Linked DNA regions of Neurospora crassa OR74A. The protein of the gene in region 2 purifies or fractionates together with the protein of the main gene of each other region. This does not show direct contact. Links are inferred from orthologs where the notes say so. Each region holds a gene or a part of one and is shown on either strand. Other genes may lie near its edges.

Evidence for each region.
Region 1: the proteins of NCU04273 (region 2) and NCU07547 purify together in Saccharomyces cerevisiae (affinity purification with mass spectrometry; 3 studies listed by BioGRID, with this or other methods). This does not show direct contact. The link is inferred for Neurospora crassa OR74A from reciprocal best matches to the Saccharomyces cerevisiae genes NOP13 and MRT4.

Annotation. Positions count from the first base shown.
Region 1 is NC_026503.1:4,412,031-4,415,594, reverse strand, and holds NCU07547 (mRNA turnover protein MRT4), read left to right. Parts: upstream 1-1,567; 5' UTR 1,568-1,802; coding exon 1,803-1,993; intron 1,994-2,087; coding exon 2,088-2,655; 3' UTR 2,656-3,050; downstream 3,051-3,564. UniProt on the Saccharomyces cerevisiae protein: Component of the ribosome assembly machinery. Nuclear paralog of the ribosomal protein P0, it binds pre-60S subunits at an early stage of assembly in the nucleolus, and is replaced by P0 in cytoplasmic pre-60S subunits and mature 80S ribosomes.
Region 2 is NC_026505.1:5,457,013-5,460,441, forward strand, and holds NCU04273 (RNA-binding protein), read right to left. Parts: upstream 2,479-3,429; 5' UTR 2,295-2,478; coding exon 828-2,294; 3' UTR 610-827; downstream 1-609.

The DNA of each region.
Region 1 (3,564 bases), on a different chromosome or scaffold from region 2:
GATACTCTGCTGGCTGTAAACATTCCAGAAGCTGCCGTCTGCTGGATCGTCGGTGTTCGGTCCCCATTGCTGGCCGATGCCTTTTCCATGCCCAGCAAACAATCGGCCAAACGGTCCAGGCCACCGGCATGGGGACCTTGTTGTTGACATGGTTCTGCGCCTCCAATCTCTGTTCAACTTCAACTTTAATCTGAACCCCACCCCGCCGGTTCTGTAGTGTATGTACACTACCAGTATACCTTTAGACTATGTAAAAGCTTTTCGTTTTCGCGGCGAATGACTCACGCAACACAAGTGAGGATCCGGCAGTCGAATTGGGGCGGCTTATGGTAAAAAGGGATAGGCAAAATTGCGGTTGCCGCGTGGCTGGGCTCACACGGCGTGCAACCCACCGACCGATCAAAAAGACCTCTCGCCGTCAAGATTGGGGGGACTTTAGTTCTCTGGCAGCTTCCAAACTCTTCTCAGTCTTAAATCCGAGAGGAAACGACCGATTGGCGCACCAAGTGCGAGCTTGTTTATCTATTGTCTTACCTTATCGGCCAAACCAAGACACTTTTCATTAGCTGCGTGCCGTTCAAGTCGGTACGTACCTATGTTGTTTTAACCCGTTCCCCGGATTTGCACTAAGCCCTACACTTGGCTTGACATCACACTGCGACAAATCATCATGTCCATCGGTGGCCGGTTGCGTTCCCGACAGCATCTCATCTTCTCACGCAATGAATTCAGGTGCCCTTGGCAGCATCACTTGACATCAAAGGAGGGGCTCGTCTTCTTTTCGTCTTGACATTCGTGTACTGTCCAAGGGCGTGTCGTTTGATGGCAACCACCGGGTGTCTTGTCTTCAACGGCCTGACCGTCGTTGTGAAGCCGCGGGACGAAACGCCAATACCGGTTGCTCCAGATTAGCTCACACATTCTCCCGTATATCCGTCAGACAAACGGGAGGGAGTCATCATTCGTGAAACCTGAGGAAGTGAGCCCATGGCGAAGGTTAACCGAACACGCGCTGTTTTCACACTGTCCAATTTGCCGGGATAAGTGAGCTGAATCCACGGAACTTGTTTGAATGCTTTCGATATGGTAATTCCCAGGTCAACCTCTTCAGGAAGGGCTTTGGTGTCCAAGCAACAGGCGCAAATGACTGCAGGCGAGCTACATAGGCCCGAGGACAACAGAGGATGAGTCTTGTGAGTTGTCGACTATCGAGGTGCGCGTTTCCATTAGACCTATGATTGTTTGTTGGAGACATGGAAAAGGAAAGCAACATAAGTGCAATTCATGTCTATCGTGATTATCGATAGAAGAAGTCAAGCAAATGTCAAAAGTTGGGAGGGAAACGATCAAAAACGAATCTCCAAACAACGTCGATACACCAGGGGAAACACAACAACAGGGATGCTGGCTGCACAGTTCAAGGTGGGGTAGGCTGGCCGCAGTCCATTTGGGTGGGGCCTGCCAAAATCAATTGTGGGGGAAAGCCTATCAATGGCTCACCGCCCAAAAGTTTCGCGCGGCAGAAAAAAAACAAAAGTCAGCGATAGGCGACTGCACCACAGCACCGCCGGCACGGCAGAGGCTCCCGTCCCGTCTGTCTGCGTATCAATTGGTGATTCTGATCCTTCCATTCCACTTCCACTCTTGATTCATTTGGGTAGTTGTCATAACCAAAACCAATCTACACCACCAACAACCATCTTTTCTTTGCCACCATAGTTCTGTCTCTGTATCGGCATTGTTATTGTGCGCTTCATCTCTTGTAATCTTTACATCCATAACCACCCACACATACCGTCAAGATGCCCAAGTCCAAGAGAGCGAAGGTGTACAACCTCACCCAGGTCACCAAGAAGAACCGCGAACAAAAGGAGAAGCTCTTTGAGAACATCCGAGAATGCATCCCCAACTACCAGCACTGCTTCGTCTTCAGCATCGATAACATGCGCAACAACTACCTGAAGGATGTCAGAAAGGAGCTGAACGACTGCCGGTATGTTTGTTATTGTCCACCTTCTTCCTACTCAGTAGCCGAATCCAATCGCAATCGCAATCATTGACTAACACTTCTTCTTCCCGTGCTACAGCATCTTCTTCGGCAAGACCAAGCTCACCGCCCGCGCTCTCGGCACCACCCCCGAGGACGCCCAAGCCGACGGGCTCGACAAGCTCTCCAAGTACCTGTCCGGCTCCGTCGGCCTCATCTTCACCAACCGCGACCCCTCGGAAATCAAGGACTACTTCGTCAACCTGACACAAGTCGACTTTGCGCGCGCCGGCTCCGTCGCCACGCGAACCATCACCATCCCCTCCGGTCCCTTGTACTCCACCGGTGGCGAGGTCCCCGCCGAGCACGACGTGCCCGTCTCCCACACGCTCGAGCCCGAGCTCCGCCGCCTGGGCATGCCCACCCGCATGGTCAAGGGCAAGGTCTGCCTGGGTGACGAGGCCGGCGAGGGTGACGATTACGTTATCTGCAAGGAGGGCGAGACGCTGGATTCCAGGCAGACGAGGCTGCTGAAGCTGTTCAGCATCTGCTTGAGTGAGTTCCGTGTCAAGCTGCTGGCCTACTGGAGCGCGGCGAGCGGGGAGGTTACCGAGTTGGAGAAGCCTGGTGAGGCTGGTGCTGAGGAGATGGAGGAGGATGACGAGTAAGGGATGTGTTCATGAATGATACCCTGAAAAGAGGGACGGTGTGTATGTGGTTGCACTTGACGAAGCGGTTGGAAAGGTTCATGATATCAAGAAATCTGCCGTACGAGAAGGGGAACTCCCTTCAACTTACAATAACGCAACATCGAGGGACCCAACAAGAGGGTGTGGGGAGGGGACCGGTCAAAATTTTTGCAAACGTCATTATTTCTCGTTTTTTTACTACTTGGCTTGTTTCCGTGTTTTTACATAGGGAAAGGTTTACGATGATACCATCTTTGTATGGAACTTCTTCTTTTGGGGAACATAAAACAACCGGTCATCTTAGTTTATGTATTACCAGGCGTCTTAAGAGATAGGAGGGGGCAAAGGCTCACGAATAGAAAAAGGCTTCAAAGACAATGTCCTGTATGTGATGCTGACTTCTTGTGATGTTCATCGTTGTGGCACGGCTGGTATAACGAATGATCAAGTCCGCCAAACCATTACCAAAGAGAAGGACAAAGTTGTGTCTATACAACAAAACTCGAATGTGCGCAGTATTTACTTGCAATATCACGGAACCACCAAGCCCTATGACAATTTTCCTCAAACGTCAAAAATAAGAATTGAAAGAGTAGAATAACCCAACCACAGAGTGCTCGAAGAGCTAGCAGAGATGTAAGAAGGCAATACAATTTTCGAACCTGACATGCATCATCATCATCATCTCCGCATTCCACTACACAAACTTACCAATTCTAGAATAGTTTTTCAAGGCCCTTTCCATGTTGACATCGGACACCAAGTTTCTTCCTCTTCTTCTTCTTCTTCTCGCTCAAAAGCGAAATGAAACCAGGTCAAATTCATTCAGTCTTTAGGATATGCAAAAGGCTGATGTATAACCCCCCATCTCCCACCCGCCCTCCTCCA
Region 2 (3,429 bases):
CGAGAAACATGGATAACGGAGTGCTTGGACGGAATGTTTTGTTGGGTTGCTCGGGTCAATTGATGGGTGCTTTAAATTGCTAGTTTTTTTTTTGCTTTTGTCAACGTAAGCTCGTTGTTATGGAAATTTCCCCTCTCCTACTACTGTCTTCTGTTTAGTCTGTGCTTCATGTGATAAGTCCCAAAGAACAAGTGTCTAGAGAGAAATCAAGGGATTACCATAGTCGACGGCTCTGGCGTGAAGTGTACTCGGTGTCGTTGCTTTACACTACACTGCTGCGCATTGATCTCTTCTTCGGATGAAACTGGCAATTCACCACTTTATAATCTAGAGTAGACCTCACTTCTCTTGTAACTCGTTACGGCCACTCAGATTGTGCTCAATAGCTAGATTGTGTTAAAACAGATGTTCCGTCATGAAATTCTTGGTCCTTTTCGATCGCCGGCCGTAAACAACACGACCGTGCATACATATGGAGGCATGGATGTATTTTGAGTAATCTCCTTGGAGCGTCATGTTTTGCAGAGAGATGAAAGACTGTGTTAGCAAACCAGCAAGACAGAACGTAGAACACACTTGCGATCGTCACGATGTGCATATAGGTATGAGGTGAAGCGCAAATTCGATTCCTCTAGCCGTCTAAGCCCACACAACATGGAAACAAGATAGGTATATAAGACACAACCTTAAAACAAGACAACATTAAGTTACCACCGGACACACTGAACCGTGGCGACATGATTTTGAACCCATATTTTTTCTCTCTCTTCCGCCGAACCCAAGAAAAAAAAAAGCCCGGACCAGATAGACAGGACACTCGTCCTATTTTACTCAAAGGTAGTCTTCTTGCCCTGGTGAGCAACAGGCGCACCAGTAAGTCTGGCAACACTGATATCCTGAGCCATCTTGATTTGACCATTACCGCCTTCTTCCCTCTTCTTGTAAGGAACCCTCTGTGGCCTCTCACCACCGTCTTGTCCTTGCTTCTTGCCGCCCGCAGCGCCCTTGCCTCGGAACCGCTTGTCGTATCTCGTCTTGTCGTCCTCGGCCAACTCGATCTTGAGGGTGCGGCCATGTAGCTGGTTGACCCACCACTTGCGGGTCTTTATCCTCTTTTCCGTTTCCTTCTTTTCCTTTGTCTTTTCCGCGTCGGCGTTGTCACCGTCGGCTGCGGCTTCGGCTTCGGCTTTTTGGTCTTCATCCATAAAGTCCTCCAACTCGGGAATCTCCTCGCGGATCTTGACGAACCCCTTGACCGCCCACTGCGCGGCTTCGCCCTCCTCAAAGTTCACCCACCCGTACCCCTTGCACTTGCCGCTGTCCTCGAACGTGGCCACCTTGACCCACCGGATGGCGCCGCACTTGTCAAAGTGGTTGCGCAAGTCGTCCTCGGTGGTGTCGAACGAGAGGTTGCCGACAAAGATCTTGGTTGAGCCGGCGAACTTGCCGCCTACTAGCGCCTCGTCCTTCTTTCCACCAGCAGCGCCCTTGGCATCCTCATCGTCTTCCTTCTTCTTCTCCGGCCGTCCCTCGAACGACGTCGCGTCCTTGATCAACAGCTTGCGCTTGTACCACTCGGTCTCGCTGAGAGCAATGGCGGCGACCTTGGTGGCCAGCGAATCAAAGTCGACGTAGGCGAAACCGCGGTTCTCGGGCTTCTCCTTCTTGGGCTGGCCGGGCTGCGCCTTGGCCGTGGGCATGTGCACGCGCGTGATGGACTCGGGCGTGATGGAGCCGCCGCTGTTGTCGACGAGCCATTGCTTCAGTTCGCTCTTGGTGACGGTGAAGCGCAGGTTGCCGATCCAGACGCCGTGGGGGGACCGTTCCTTCTTTTCCTTCTTCTTTTTCTTGTCCTTGTCGCCGTCCTTTCCGGTGGCGGTTTCGTTATCCGAGTTGTCGTCGGAGTCATCACCCTTGTCGGAGGAGGGCTTGGTAGGGAGGGTCTTGCCCTTCTTGAGCAGACGCTTGGCTTTCTTGGAGGGAGGCTCGGGGGCGGTGACGTCGATTTCGATTTCGGTGAGCTCGGCCTTGCGCTTCTTGGAAGATTTCTTGGGTTTCTCATCGGAGGAGGCGGCGGCGGCATCGGCATCGGCGGTGGTGTCCATGGTGTCGACAGTCTCGGCGGACTCGGCAGGCTCCTCTGTGGCCTTGCGCTTCTTGGAGGATTTATCCTTCTTCTCCTTCTTTTCTTTCTTAGACTTCTTCTCGGAAACGAAATCGGCGGTGGTGTCCATGGCGTCGACGGGAGCGGAGTCCTGCGCGGAGGCGGTTTCGAGGTCTTTTGTTGCTGCCATTCTGGCTGGCTTTAGCGTATCGATCGAGATGGTGTCAATAGGCAAGGGAAGAAAAGTGTTGGAAATAGCAATAAAATCAAGGGTGTTGATTCCTCGAATTTGCAATGTCTACAGAAGGAGGACAGCCGCGCATGGACGCTGAGATTCCCCAATTGCTGGCAGCACAAGATTTTGGAAAATTTACTTTGCGATAAGCGAAGCGATAAGGAAGGGGTCACTGTTCCTCGCTCCAGTTGCGGGTCCGGAGCTTGGCTTGGTCGGGTCTCCATCGCGCAAAATGCGGGGGAGCGGGCGGGACCTACCTTTCAACCTCCACTTTCGGGTTCTCCACTCATACCCCTCTGAATCTCGTGCCAAATTTGCAAAGAGCCGCCATCTTTTCAGATCTCCCGCCGTCATTTCATGATGGGACTTGCCCTTTGCATGATTGCCCCCTTTTTAATGCGATGTCTATGGGCCCTATCTTATAGTGTCAAACGTGTCTTGCTCCGATGACAGGTCTTGAAGTGCAGCCGTACTTGGGTCGGCAAGGTAGGTACGAGACCAGCGTGCAGAATTTCGGTACTCATCAACTGGAGTATGGTACAGTACACGTACTTTTGTACATTGGTCACAAATGGATGGAATATTTCCCCGACAATGACAGCCCACAGCACCACGCAATGGGCCAAATGTAGCCACGAGCACAAGTCGATGATGCCAATATGCTGACTTGGCCCCTCTTCCACTTGATCAATGCCAGGATGTCCCTTGCCATGAATAATAGCTCACGGTGTAGAGTACCTGTAGTAGACACGTCTGCCAAACTCATCTATATTGAGCAGAGTACTTGTTGGGTTCTTGAAAGACGGTTGGACATATTACTTTGCAGGGAGTCTCTTAAGTCCACATAGCAACCCTGAGCTATACAAAGCTGGACAGTCACTTCCGATGGGAAGCAGAAGCCCCATTCAACTCCAGGTCAGTCACTCCCAATGAAAGGGTATCAGATCCTTCGGAAGTTGTTCCAGAGTGATGGCCATTAAAGTCCCGCAGAATCGAAACGGAAACGACATGAGCGTGTTGCTGACGTTGCTCGAATCAACCCCCCGAAGCTTTGATCTGGATCGAGCGAATCGTCAAGGGAGCTGATCGG